Neurospora crassa OR74A: one gene and its partner. The protein of the gene in region 2 interacts with the protein of the main gene of each other region in a biochemical or structural test. Links are inferred from orthologs where the notes say so. Each region holds a gene or a part of one and is shown on either strand. Other genes may lie near its edges.

What was found. The genes of interacting proteins can lie anywhere in the genome.
Region 1: the proteins of iap-1 (region 2) and tim9 form a complex in vitro, tested with the Saccharomyces cerevisiae proteins (2 studies listed by BioGRID, with this or other methods). The link is inferred for Neurospora crassa OR74A from reciprocal best matches to the Saccharomyces cerevisiae genes YME1 and TIM9.

Annotation. Positions count from the first base shown.
Region 1 is NC_026503.1:2,972,092-2,979,353, reverse strand, and holds tim9 (mitochondrial import inner membrane translocase subunit tim-9), read right to left. Parts: upstream 4,044-7,262; 5' UTR 3,872-4,043; coding exon 3,864-3,871; intron 3,742-3,863; coding exon 3,672-3,741; intron 3,259-3,671; coding exon 3,070-3,258; 3' UTR 2,890-3,069; downstream 1-2,889. Other genes in the region: NCU00199 (hypothetical protein), read left to right, coding at 1-386, 442-1,887. UniProt on the Saccharomyces cerevisiae protein: Mitochondrial intermembrane chaperone that participates in the import and insertion of multi-pass transmembrane proteins into the mitochondrial inner membrane.
Region 2 is NC_026502.1:975,855-983,563, forward strand, and holds iap-1 (intermembrane space AAA protease IAP-1), read right to left. Parts: upstream 6,443-7,709; 5' UTR 6,243-6,442; coding exon 6,216-6,242; intron 6,126-6,215; coding exon 4,062-6,125; intron 4,002-4,061; coding exon 3,561-4,001; 3' UTR 3,127-3,560; downstream 1-3,126. Other genes in the region: NCU03360 (hypothetical protein), read right to left, coding at 1-113; NCU10376 (hypothetical protein), read left to right, coding at 6,985-7,166, 7,281-7,709. UniProt on the Saccharomyces cerevisiae protein: Catalytic subunit of the mitochondrial inner membrane i-AAA protease supercomplex required for mitochondrial inner membrane protein turnover. The protease is probably ATP-dependent. Important to maintain the integrity of the mitochondrial compartment.

The DNA.
Region 1 (7,262 bases), on a different chromosome or scaffold from region 2:
CGAGGATAGCAGCTTACATTGCCGAGGCATTTGCCATGCAGCTGTACCATCTGCGTCAGATGGGGCAATCACAAAAGTTTGCGAATGACGTCGTGAACGATCTCGATTACTTTTTGCGTAACGGAGTTGAGGTTTCGGGGTACAACGCCTCGTTGCATTCTAACTTTGCAAAGAACTTTAGCCAACGGTACCCGGGGATTTCGGTAGAGGATTTCAAGAGGACAGTTCTTGTTCCCCGTGATCTGGGTTCCCAATTTTACTATGCCTTGGATTTTGCCGACTTGATGCTCAGTTACGACGTGGCATGGGATGGGTCGCGCAAGAACGGCTTCAAGCATGAGATGGAGAGGGCTAATGTGAACTTGTCTTTGGTGGAAGCTGAGATTGTAAGTTTTTCTGTGTTGCCTCTCGGGCGATAACAAATACTAACAATAATTCAAGGCCCTTTTCCATGCTTGGGAGTATCTACTTCTAGAGCTTAGCGTCTCGCTTCTCCCCAAGAACGAAACCGTCGCCAAGCAGATGGCACAGGTCGCTGAGCAATGTCTGGATGCCAACCAACGGGCTCAGCCGCCAGACAACATCTTCGTCCGCTTGGTTCACGCTCGGGCAAACCTGGCTTTGACGCTTCTTCAACGCCTCGCTGATGCTTCTCACCTGCCTAAGGACAGCACCAAGCTGCTCACCAGCATCACAAGGGCCATCAATAACATTGAGGTTCCCTTCGACAAGGATCAGATCTCCTATTTCCGCACCCTCCTCAAGATCCTCTTCGTCGCTCTCCGTGGAACCAGACACTCGGTCAATGCCCCTGCGCCCGGCGCCTCCACCTTGTCGAAGTCCGGTGGTGAAAGCAGCTCCGTGGCCGTCACCCAACTGACTCTCAGCATCCTTGACCGCGTCGTCGCCCAATCCTTCAGGTCCCTCGTCGCGCTAGTGCACGAACCCACCTCGCCCACCACGCCCGAGGACCTTGCCCTCATCACCGCGATCCTGCAAGCCTGCCTGAGCGTCCCCGGCATTGACCAGTGCCAGGTGCAAATCCTCAACATCATGGCCAGCCACGACGTGTTCCAAGTCGCCACCTCGCTCTTCTCCTGGGCCGACAAGCTGACGGACAAGTCTGGCGACCCAATTTACGGCGAGCTTTCCTTGCTCTTCCTGCTTGAGCTCTCCGCCATGCCCGCCATCGCGGAGCAGCTCGCCTGCGACGGCCTGCTAGACCACATCACGTCCGCCAACCTTGCCGGCTTCATGCGCCGCCCCAACGTCGGCCCTCTAGCTGACAACGCTGGCGCCGCCCGCTGCTATTCCATATGGGCCAAGGGCATCCTGCCTTTACTACTCAACATGCTCGGTGCTTTGGGCGCCACCATCGCCCCTGAAATCGCTTACGTGCTGAATCAATTCCCCAATCTGTTGCGCGCGGCCGTGGATCGGTTCGAAGCACCAGGCACCCACCGCACCTTTTCGCCCTCCAAGTCCGTTTCTATCTCGGGTGGTCCCAACAATAACAAGGACATGTCTGGCTTCATCACCCTAACCGCCATTTCGGAAATCCACTCCCTCGCCCTCCTCACGCGCGTCCTGTCAGTCATCAGGATGACCAATGTCGGCGGCCACTCGGCAAGAGACATCCCGCAGATTACCGGAGGGTGGGAAGACGAGGCCAGACAAAATCTTTTGGAGAATGTGGAGTTTTGGCTGGGGAGCAGGAAGGTGTTGAGGGAACGGTTGGTGCCTTTGGGGCAGAGGGAGATGGAGTGGAGGAGCCAGAAAGCTTCGGAAGGGTCAGCGTGCGAGAATAAGTTGGAAGAGAAGGCGGTGGAGATGTTGAGTGGTGTGGCGGAGGTGTTGGCGTTGGGTGAGGCGGAGGAGGGTGCGTAGAAGGTGTTTTACAGTCACTGAGGGAAAGAAGTGATGATGATGGTAAAGGGGTGGATGTTGAAAGGTGGTGATGTGTTTTGGAACGCTGCGGTCTGTCTGATGGATAATTGTGTGTAAAAGTAAGGGATATGGTTGAATTGCTAGGCAGTGTAGCAGGAGACTGAGTTTATGTGTTTTTGTTTACTTCAAGTCGTAAGCGGTATTGAAAAGGTGGTGTGTTACTTTGCACAGCTGATGTTTGGGCGTGATTGCCGGTTTTAGGTTCATATAGCATTTCGACAGTTTTCCCTTGAAAAATGTTCTTTTGGGTGGCTATGCGCATGACGACCGTACAGTTCGAAAGTTCTTTTGTGAGGGACTCGCCCGTCCTCTAGTCATCAAGTAAGAGGAAGGTTTATTGTCCATGTAATCCCACAAATCACAATATAACCACGCAGAAAGATTTGTTGTATTATTGCACACAGCCAGATTCCAACATCTTGACTTTTGTATAAATCCGTTTTTTAGTGCCAATATCTTCGCTTCAGTCTCTTTTCGTTACCTCACATCACGTACCAGATCTCTCCCCGTAGGTATCACGCTTCACGACTACCAGAGGTACAACAACAACAACAACAACAACAACGGCTACCTCCGTTGTCCCCTCAAAGGCTTTTTGTGAAAATTGTCATATCCGTAGATGTCGACAAAAAGCACCTTCAACTTTCCTCCCTACCTCTAGCCAAAGCTGGCAGAAACTAAGTAGGACTCGTCTCGACACCATCCATCCTAGGTATTCAATACCATCCATCCGTTTCCCCCTCTCCCCCCCCTTCTTCTTCTTCTTCTTCTTCTTCTTCTTCTTCTTCTTCTTCTTCTTTCCATATTCATCCACAACGGAAAACCGGTATTCCTCACCACCTCATTCTGCAACCCAACCAGCACACCTTCACTCGCAATATCCTTTACGGTATGTATGTATGTGTGTATGGTACGCATGCATGTATGCGCAACCTGCCTCATCGTCGTCAACCCAATTTATTTCCCGAACTGAACCTATTTATACACATTTGTCTTTTTTTTTTTTTTCCCCTCAACCCTTCTTCCTTCCTTCCTTCCTTCCTTCCTTCCTTCCTTCCTTCCTTCCTTCCCCTTTCTCCTTTCCTTCTTGTAGTACAGTGTATAGTGTAGTTTTTTTTTATTTTACCGCCTCTGCATCTCAGCAGTCATGGCAGCGTTGAGCTCGCCAAAGCGCTCGCCCAGGCGCGTCTGGGTGGACATGGACTTGAGCACGCAGCGGCTGATGCAGCCCGACTCGCGGCCGGAAAGGGCCTTGGAGGTGAAATCGTCGACGCAGGCGGTGAAGCAGTTGTCTACGAGGTTACCGAAGACCTGTTTGTTTGTTCGTTTGTTTGTTAGAAGAAAGAAGAGAGAGAGGGAAGGGAGGGGGAATGTTGGTAAGAGGTTTGGTGGGTTGGTTTTGGGATAGATAGATGGGAGAGCTAGCAGAGGCGTGGAGAGGGGTGGTGTTGGAGGGGGAGAATGGATGGATGGGGAAATTGAGGTATGCCAGTTCGGAAATAGGTGGAAAGGAAGGAGGAGGAGGAGGAGGGGTGGGAAACAGGTTGCGAGTAAGTGCGAGTAGATGGGATAGTTGGGGGATGGATGGTGGAAGACCGGGGGATAAAAGATTGGTGATGACGGTAGCTATGTTTGGATCTAAGATGTAGCGACGACTCGAAGATGGAAGAATATTGGTGGCGCAAATGTGTAACGAAGAAAGAAAGTGTGTATATACGACGTACACTCATAAACTCCTTGACCTGGCGCTTCTGAAGGCGCTGGTCGAGCTCGCGGCTCTCGGCGGCTGTAAGTCTGTTTTGATGGAAAGTTTGACGATGACGTTAGTTTTGGGTGTCCAGTCTTGTTCTCCTTGTCGTAAAAAAAAACAAAAAAAAACACAAGGTGACTGTTGTTTCCCTTGCTCTCTTGCTTACCCATCCATTGTTGTCGATTTGGTGTTGTGGTTCGGTGATGATTCCGAACTCTTGAGGAAATTCGAGTTGTAGTATGGATGTAAGGTCCTGGTCGGTTGGCAGAGGTGGAATCGATAACGGATGGATGGATGGATGGATAGATGTCGATGTCGTACCTACCTAGGGCCCGCTGCGCGCGACGGGCAGAAACGAGTCGGATGGATTGAAGCTGCAGTTCTAAAAATTCACCGCCCGGCAGAGAGCTCGATGCTTGGCGCTTGGCAGCAAGGCTTGGCAAGACCGGGGGATACAGTAGCAAAGAAGGTCTGTGCGCTACTAACGTTCGCTCTTAACATTGTACACTACCACTGCACTGCACAACTGCAGGCAGCTCAACCAACAGTCTTCACTGCAACCATAGCCGACGCCAACGGTGAGGAATGACATCACTCCTTACGATCCAACACAGGGCAACAACCTCTCGGAGACGGCGCCAACTGGAGGGATCACTACTAAAAACAGACATTTACTATGTATAGGTAGATAGAAGAGCCTCACTGGTACTGCTATCTGAGGTTTTGCCTTTGTCTTGCTCCCCATTAGGTTTCCGGCAATTCGTCCCTGTATCACCCACCATTCAGCAGGGCGGGGAAGTGAAGGGAAGGACTGACTGTGTGCAAAGTATGGTATTGTACAACGACGGCATGTCCGCTGGCTCGTAGGGACCGATGTCCAATGGGCTGTTTTATCTCTCCGTGTCTTGTGTCACTACCGAAAGGCTTCGTTACTTTGGCCATGGCTTTGTGGTGAGAAGAAAAAAAAAAAAAAAAAAAAAAGGTGCTGGGATGTGAGCCATTTCTCCCATTGACGGTTATTTGCGGTTAGTGAGATGTGGTGCGGACGTCTTCTTTCTTCATTACTGCAGTAGTGTTCATCGCCTTTTAAGTGCTTATAAGCACTGGTGTGTTCCCGGAAATCCAAAAACACCAACAGCAGTACATATCGTGGGCTTACATGCAGCCTCAGCCAGAGTCAGCCTATGACGTCCACCCGGGAAGGATCTCGTGTTCAGGGAGGAATATGTCTTGCCCGCATATGAAAGATGAAACAAGACCCGCAGTTGATGGGTACAACATGCTTTTCTACTTTCAAGCCGTTGTGGCAATTTGAGGTGGCCTTGTATGTGTCCCGCCCCCCCCCCCCCCCCCCCCCCCCAAATCGTTATGGTTTTGATACATCCACCATCCCAAACGCACAACTTGGCTTGGAGGCTCTAGGTGGAGCTGCCTTGTCGCGGCAAAAGCTCGGTCCGTCGGCTATGGTAAGGGGTGAATCGCAATCTGATATGTTTCTAGGCGGCTCAGGTAAATTTCATCAAGCGGTGAGAATATGTACAATGAGCCGAGCCTGAACTCGCCCATATCTACGCTACGAAGCTCAAAGTTGGGGTCTGAGGATACCTACAAAAGGTTGCTGAAGCTGTGGGAATTCTTCGCACGGTGAACGCGACTGCGGAACCTGGCGGCGAAGCGAAGCCATTTTATCATCTCTTGTCAAGTGTGGCGCATGACATGTGCATGCCTGGTCTTTGGCGAAGTGAGGGGGAAACTCATCCTTGACCACATGAGCATGTTCCGCTTGTCTCACCATCTCCTCTGTGCCGACCAAATGTCGTCTTGTCGTCAAGCTGCAACGGGACGGACGCTCTGTGGCCTAGTTCCCCTCTCCTCAATTCTGGAGAACAGCACACTAAAGTGTATGTAGTTAGGCTGCGTTTGTTCTCGTACGGTTGCCGTACAAAGGAGGTTACCGTATAGCTTCATACGGCAAAGCTCGGACTACCTTTCACATACGCCGTATAAGCTTCTACACCCCCCTCATACGGCCAATATACGGCGTACCCGCTTATTCTAGCATTTGCAGTATAAGGTTTATTAATATCACGATACTATATATAGTGTTAATACCTTCTATACTTCGGTTTCTAATTCGGAAGGCGTAATATTAATATAAAGTAATAAGAATAGGGATTGCTATATAATAACGAAGTATAAAGGTAGAGGATTAGCTACTAAATAGAAAGATATATCGCTAATAGTCTTATCTATTATCTTTCTCGATTACATAATAGTTAGCCGTTAATTATATTAATTATTTTATTTATTAATTTAATTTATTACCCTCTATCTACTATACTACTAAAATATAAAAAGGTATCGTCGCCTAGCTCCGCCACTTTTAGTAAGAGGTTCGGCGGCGCTTCTATTCATTTTACCTTAAAGTATTAAAAAAATAAGTAGGGGACTTAGTCCTAACCTAATAACCCTATTACCTCCTAGAATAAATCTACTAAAAAGGGTTCTACTAAAAAATCGGTTATTATTACCCAACTACCATCCCCCTCCTTTAATAATATTAATACTAATAGGCCCCGTTGCTTAGAAGCCTCCTAAGTAATATTTAACCGTTTAGTTAATAACTAAATTCTAGATTTCGGGTCCTTTGAGGAGGATTAGAATAAAGACGACTAGGATAACGATAATGAAGATTATAGCGAGGATAATAATTAAGATAACGATTAGAATAACGATAATGAAAATTATAATAAGGATAACGATTAGAATAATAATTAGGATAACGATTAGGATAATAATTAAAATAATAATTAAAATAACGATTAGGATAAATTCAATGGAGAGGAATAAAAGAAATTAGATAATCTTGAAGCGGCTATTAAGGAAGCTACCGAAATCGCTGTTAAAGCGGTTAGAAAAGTTATAATATTAAACCTTAAAATGAAGAAGGCCGGGAAGGCTATAGTACTAAACCTTAAAATAAAGAAGGGGAAGGCTATAATACTAAACCCTAAAACGAAAAAGAGGAAGGCTATAATACTAAACCCTAAAATAAAGAAGGTTAGGAAGGGAAATTATAAACTTCGGGCTATTACCCCCCCGGAGGTTAAACTCTTTACTCTCGAGTAACTTTATAATATTAATAACCTTAATAAAAATAGTATATACTCTTAAGAAGCGTTCGAATATATCTTCAAAGAGCTCCTAAAGAAGTATAACTATAATTCAATAGAGGAGTAGGAATTCTATAACTATATTAAAGTAAAGAAATTAATCGAAGCTATTAAATAGTAATTTAAATATTAGGAATAGTTAAGTAAAATAATAGGGATAGGTCTCTAATATAATAACGAGAAGTATATATATAAAGTAGAGGACTAAATAGAACTTATTAAGGTTAGTACTTTATTTTTTATTTTATTTATTATTATAAATAATAATAATTAATTATAAAATATAGTACAATTCCTATTTTAAATAATTTAGGAATAAAATTATATTTAATTATAAATTATACGAGAGGCTCTAAGGTGCAATTACTATTATTACTAGTAATAAGGTAGTA
Region 2 (7,709 bases):
GAATTCGATGCATCGCGATGGGGCGGGTGCGGCAGATGGTTCCCATGGGGACCAACAGGTGGCATTCGCCGAACCAGGCCTGGATTATCAGGCAGACCGCGCGGGCGATCCATCGGGACGTTTTATATATTATCGTTCGTTCGCGTTCGTATTTGTTGGAGAAGCGGTTCGGGACGGGGCGAGTAATGATATTGTTGACAGAGGTTCCCGCTGCGGAACTGGGACAGGGAGTCGGGGTCGATGACGGGGGAAACTCCTATGTCTTTTGGAAGGATGGAAAATCGACGGGTCGTCCGACGGGTTGGACCGGGGCGAAACAGGCTGGTGGTGCTAGGTGGGATCGAAGCGAAATCTCATGGCATAACTGATCGGCCTCTAGTCGGGGCTTTTAGGGCGGGCGGTGACAGTTCGAGAAGGATCAATTCCAGTGTGGCGCGGCGGTGAAAGGAAAGGAAGCGAGCGGCCTCTTGGCTACACCATGCGTTCCTTGTTGACTTTGTTGGGCTGTTGTTGATACGATGAGAAAGCTGGAGCAGCCGAGGAGATGGGCGAGAGAGGTACTCGAGGCGGGCAGTTAGTTCTCTTTGCTGAAGCCGTTGCCCGTGTCTCTCTCTTAGTTCCGAGTCTCGGATCTCGGGGGGAGATGGGCGTTATGGTGTAGCTTCAGAGTTTAAGACCACGCCAACACCCTTGGATTCCTGGGATCTAAACTTGACCGGAGCTCCAAAATTTCCCTTTGTTAGTAGCTAGAGACTGAAAGAGGGTCAGCCGGGTCGGGTAGCAAAACAACACCCACGTCTCCAAGATAGGGGTTAGCGCGTCTTTGGCAGAGGCCAAGCAAGGGGTGGTAGGTACCTCTAACCAGGTGTCTCTCAGTGTTGGGAACTCGGGGGTTGCATCAGCACCAGCACCAGGGCACCAGCAGGGCAGCGTCCACGGGGCATCAACGGGCATCCAGTTGAAAGCATGGCACAGGGAAGCGATCATGGAAATCCAGCCAGGGTCGACAGGGGCAGGGTAGCCTTGCGGGGGGGGGGGGGGGGGGGCGGAAAAGAAAAGAAAAGAAAAGGAAGAACGGAAGAAGCGAGGACGGGAAGGGGGAATCCACACTAGAGGTAGAAACTGGAATATTCCACCCAGGGGAGGCCAGCAAGGGAAGAAGAGGTCAGTATGTAGTGTAGTATCATGGACTGACCTGATGGACCACGACGACACCCACTGCCTGAGAGGAAAGAAAGTCCAGTGTCAACAATGGAATGGGGAACTGAAATGATCGATGCACACCTGCATGGACGTAGTGTACCTATTTACAAAATCAAGCCAAAGACCCCGCTTTTCCTTTCCCGCCCATTCATCCCGTCTTGACACGGGGTTTGGCCAAACTGAGGTGTCTCACCAAAAGCACAGCAAAGGCACAGTAACCTACAGTGTCTTGTGCCTGCAATCCGGGCGGGGGTTAACATCCAAGACAGTGGGCCCGTGCGGCACAGCGCTGTGTGTACCTATATAGGTATGTATTGTGCGAGTAGTGTACTGTCTCTAACCATCCATTTAGCGCGCCGCACCATGCACACCCTGATGGACTGCAAGGGACAAAGCTCAAGCTCCCATCCCCATCAAAATGATTTGATACACTGTGACGCCCCAACCACGTCCGTCGATTGCACAACATCAAAGCGAGGAGACATCGAGATGAACTGCTTCAGGAACCTATAAAGTTCATTGGGTAGACGATCGGCCGGCCGTGGTAGCCGGTAACCCTTTTTTTCTCTATTTCAATTGTAACTCCAAGCACTAGACACTAGACAACGTCGAACCAGCACCTAGAGAAGAGGTAAGTAGGTAGGTACCTATTCCGGATGAAACTCTGAAACGAAGCGCCGGTAACAGAATTGATCGAAACTGGAGCCACCCTCATTACCGCCCCATGGCACACTACGACTCACATCCCCGACCATAATCACTGCAATATGATATCTGTTAGATCTTATTACTTACCTACTATAGAGGTACCTACCTGCCTTCTATCCATTCAACCAACCTTTTACTTTTTCTGGTATGTACGCAATGTACATACATATAACTAGGTTTTGGTCAGCCGAGATCCGATCGCTGGTCGCATCTGGAAACTTGATTGTTTAACAAAACGAAACATCCGAAGCCATCGCTTGCTGCCTTGGCAAGTCGTATTTTACCATGGACTTTCCACTCATGGTGCATGTTTATGCTTCCGTCCTCCGAGAGAGCACCGCACGAACAACTGAACTCAACGAATGAATGATTCTTTTTCCCGAGAACCGTGCCATCGTGACACCCGCCGGGACTGTGCGCAATTGTAAGAGCAAACTTGTCAGTTGTCACCACTTGAGGAACCTTTTTGAACTCAAGTAGTCTCACAAACAAACAAACAAACAGCGGAGAATTCAATGGGATATTTTTGGCAACTCAAATGTTTGATACTGTAGCTAGGTACACATCCAAGAACTAGAATAAGTGATCGACAACAGACCCATCTAGCTGTCTGTCAACAGAGAGGAAGATCAACTGAACATCAAACATTCCCTCCCGCCTGCCAACCTGCCTCGGCTTGCACATCCGGATGTTTAGCTCCGCCCGTGTAGCCGTCCAAGACCACTTGCAGCGAGGCACTCGAGGCTGAAGTCTGAATGCATAGTGTTGATTGACTTGCTTTTCAGCCTCAAGTAGCAGCCTTCGTATAAACTTTCCGCTTGTATTCAGTTGTTTTGGTAGCGTCCAAAGTCAGCTCCGAAGCCTCTGTGTTCCAGTACCAGAGTGGCTTGCTTGAGTGGCTTGATTGTCCTACGCCACGAGACATGATGCGCGATACATCATACGGAACAATATCGGAAAACACACACAATCACTCAGCGTGACTGGAGAGTTAGGTACATGCCAAATTGGGAGGGAAGCGGCCGTGAATGTTCAGGACAAAGCACCATATATTTTCATACATCAACTCAGCTTCGCTATAGGCAGACTGTTGCGGCTTACCTACACCCGACCAAGCCAGTAACTATATAAGAGCGGCAGTAGCCAACATCCTCACCATCCTCACCATTACCATCATCATCAACCATGGGATAACAAGAGGAAGTGGTAGCAAAAGTAAAAGTGTACTACTCCTAACACAACACACAAAAACGCCATCTAATGCCTCCATCCACACCTACTACCTTTATCCATCCTCCCATCCAATCTTCATTCTTCCTCGTCCTCATCAATTTCTTGGAAAAAGAAAGTGATGCGCTTTGTAAACCCAACATAATAACATGATAAGAATTAAAAAAAAAAAAAAAAAGACTAAAATACAGTTCATAAAGAAAGTGCCTGATTTGATACCTTAACCCCGCTACCCATTAGAATGGTGTTGTTGTGTGATGTGAGATTCATGCTTTTTGTGGTTTGCCCAACTCCCCAAAATCAGAGAAAGATTTCAGGCTTTTGTTTGTTCATAATTGATTTATAAGAACAAGTTATGTCCTGTCCCGCACCTTTACTTACACCCAACCCCCCACTCACTCAACTCACCTCTGCGCTCCTCACGCGGGCACAGGCGGCGGCGGGGCCGGTCCCGGGCCACTGTCACCCGGGGGCGGCACGTCGCCAGGTAGGGGTGGTAGGGGCAGGCCCGGCTCCAGGGTGTCGCTGGGCTTGGGAATAGCCATAGGCCCTGGCGGCACCGAGATGCGATCCTTCAACTTCTCTCCCCGAATCACCCTCTCAACTTCCTTCTTGTCCAGTGTCTCGTACTCGACGAGCGCCTTGGCCAAGTAGTCGAGTTCGTTCCTCTTGGAGGTGAGCAGGTTACGCGCACGCTCGTACGATTCGTCCAGAACTCTCTTCACCTCGGACTCAACCATCGCCCTGGTCTCGGAGCTGAGCTGGTTGTACTTGCGGAGGTACTCAACGGGGCCGAGCTTCTCAGACATGCCGAGCTGAGCAACCATCTGCCAGGCGGTTCTGGTGGCCATGTCAAGATCCTGAATGCCATGTTAGTTAACTCGTCTAATCAAGTGGAACAAGGGGAGGGGAGAACGTACAGCGCTAACACCGCTAGTCACAAGCTCGTTACCATAGACAATCTCCTCAGCGACCTTGCCGCCCATGGCACGGTCAATCATACCCAAGTAATCCCTGACAGTAAACGAGTGCTTGTCCATCTCAGGGAGGTAGGCAGTGTGGCCAAGAGTCTGGCCACGTGGAAGAATGGTGACCTTGTAAAGCGAGCTTGCGCTGTCCTTGGCGTAATATCCGACGAGGGCGTGACCAGCCTCATGATAGGCAGTCATCTCCTTTTCCTTGGCTGTGATAACCATACTACGCTTCTCAGCACCCATGATGACCTTGTCCTTTGCCCATTCGAAATCCTTTTGAGTAACAGCCTGAGCCTTCAACTTGCTGGCGTGAATAGCAGCCTGGTTGACAATGTTCTCCAGCTCGGCACCAGAAAGACCAGAAGTTCTGGAAGCAATAGCCTCCAGGTTGACATCGGCAGCAGCCTTGATGCGCTTGGCGTGGTGCTGGAGAATGGCCATACGGCCGCGGACATCGGGAAGAGAGACAACAACATTGCGATCGAAGCGGCCGGGGCGGGTAAGCGCCTTGTCAAGGGACTCGGGGAAGTTGGTGGCGCCGATGATGATTACACCACTGTTTTGCTCGAAACCGTCCAACTCGGTAAGAAGCTGGTTGAGAGTCTGACGTACGTAGGTAGCGTCCCTGGAGTTACGCCGGCCACCAATAGCATCAAGTTCGTCGATGAAAACAATTGAGGGAGCCTTGGCCTTGGCGGCGGCAAAGAGATCACGAACACGCTTTGCGCCAACGCCAACGTAGACCTCTTCAAACTCGGAACCGGACATGTTGAAGAAGGGAACGCCAGCTTCGCCGGCGACAGCACGAGCCAAAAGAGTTTTACCAGTACCGGGGGGTCCCACGAGCAACACGCCCTTGGGGAGCTTGCCGCCAAGAGTCGAGTACTTCTCAGGGTTGCGCAAAAAGTCGATAAGTTCCTGAAGCTCTTCCTTGGCCTCATCACAGCCGTGGACATCAGCAAAGCGAGCCTTCTGGTTCTCAGGCTTGACCTCGCTGGCCTCAAGCTTGCCACCGGGGCGCTTGATGCTGCTCAAGCCCTCGAAAACCATTGTGATGACGACCATGCTGAGATACGTGAAGAGAGTGAACCACATGAGAAACTTGACCCATCTGAGAGCGGAGCTTCCGAAACTTTCGTCAACTACGATATGCAGAGGACCCGTCTTGGCACCAGCAGCGATCGGCTTGACCATGGCCATGTTTCCACCAGTATGCTGAGCAGCAGCGGCAGTACCAGCGGCATGGATCTGGCTAGCGGTGAAACCGGAGGGGTGATAGCCATTGTTATCGACGGTGTTGTTCGCAGGCGTGTAGGGTTGACCGGTAGACATGGCAAGGGCTTGCTGGTAGATCTGGTCTACCTGCTCGTTCGTGGCGAAACGTCCAGACTGATACCTTTCGATAATGATAGCAGGCATGTTCGCCTTGAGAAGAGCCTGGTAGAAAGCATACTGAGCACCGGCGCTGGTTGGGAACTGGTTGGCAGCGGCCTCGCGAGCAGCCAGGAGGTTGTGCGAGAGACCACCGTTTCCAAAGCTGCGGACCTGGAGAGTGAAACCGAGAGAAGAGTGTACTGGCGAGCGGAAGAAGGACGGAATGCGACCGGGCTGGTGGGTGCTCATGGACCGAAGGGTGTTGACAGTGCCCAGGGGCCTCGACATGAGCGCCGAAAACGAGCGCCGGAAGAGGGGGTTCGCCATGGCGAGCTGGCGGGAAGACATGCTTGAGATTTCCGAAAAGATGTTTGTAGGCGAAGCATTTGCTAGACCCTGAGAGACAACGGGCTGGGGTAGAGGCGCAGTTCTCAGGAAGGCGGGCAGCGCCGAGGAGCTGGAAGCTTCGCGCGCGGGGGAGCTAGCAAGGGTGCGGGAGGCGTTCGAAGATGCTGTCGAGACGTTCGAGTTGTAGGAAAGCCGTTGTTGCGCCTTAAGAGAGGTCGGTAACCCGAAGGGAACGGTCAGGGTTGTCGCGATGGAAGGCCACAACTCGGTGGTTGCCGCCGCGATGGTCTGGCAGGCGCGCGGAGGGGTCAGCTTCATGGAAGAGGACGGCAACTTAAGGTACTAGCTAGTCTAAAAGACGGATTGCGCAAGACTTACCGGCAGCCCACTTGCGTGGAAAGCCATGGTGGATTGTTTACACCCACTCTCTCTCTGTTTGCGACAGACGGATGCGAAGGAGCGGAGATCTCACAATGACCAGGGCAAACCTAAAGTGTTGGTGGTGGAAATGACAGTACAATAGTCAGTGCCAGTCAGTCACTCAGTGGCGGACTGCAGCAGATGCAACTGAGTGGACGCGGCGGCGGCGGCGGAGAACGAAACGGTTGGGTGAGCAAGTTGATTAGCTGATCAAGGGCCATAGTGCCGCCTTAAATGCTGATGCCGCCGTGGCAGGTGGCAGCCGCTTATTCTGTAACGCAGAGTCAGTCGCTGTCAGTGTTCTCGCCACTTTGGACATCTGGCCTCCCGCACTGCTACACTAAAAGCTCGGTGCGCACATTGCCCCACAATGTTACGTAGTTCTTAGTTACCTAGGGAGCAATTATGCACTAACAGGTGCGCCGACAGCGCAGTCTCGACACGTGATTTGGCGTCTTACACGAGGAAAAGTCTCGTCGCGTCACGAAACTCGGTCTGTTCTGTTTGTTCACTTTGTGATTCGAGAGGCTCATGGACTGACTTAATCATAAACAACTTATTCATACACATGTTAGGTTCGAAACATACCTAGCCTACCAGGAGTACAAATACAGCCATTATTTTGAAATTAAGCTCACTTCTCAACAAATCACCACCTCCATTACTGAATCTGAAGAAGAAAAAAAATACAAGTAAACAAATCACCTCCTAAAGTGTGGAAGCCAAGATGAATCGCTCTATAGAACAGGCGCTCTTGTCACTTCTACCAACCCACAACACGACTCTCCCACAACCACTCGTCGATCTCGCCAGCTCACTCCTCGCCCAATCCCGCCATCGTGCAAGCACACTCAAAGCCGAAGAGGAGATTGCACGCACCTATGCCTGCGCCCACCTGGCATGTGACAGGTACGATACTGCATCTCATCATCTCGACTCATGCCTTCACATCTCATCTCGTCTCAGCCTTACTTCACCTTTTGTCTGTGACTATACAAAACCAACACTAACACATGCTCGCAGACTCAAAATAACCCTGAATCTCCCCCCCATCGACCCCCGCCCTCCCATTCCACCACGCATCTACAAGCGCCTCTGCTCCCACCTCTCCAATATCCTCCCCTCCACCTCTTCAACCCCCGGCCGCGGCGGTGGAACCCCCAGAAAAGCAGAACAAACAACCGCCGCCACTCCACGCAGCCAACGGACAGTCAAAACCCCTACCTCTCGACTTCGCGACCAGCAACATCGCGCTGATGACCTCACTGCCTCCCCCTCAGCAGGACGTAGCGCGAGGAGTAATCGATCAGCTGCTACTGGCAGGACGACGACTCCCGGCACTACTACTGGGCCAGGAAAAGAAAAACCCCTTCATCAATTCCGCGGCACACTCTTTCCCCGCAAGGATGGGACTTCCGGAGAAGGAGGAGGATTACCAGGATGGATGAAACC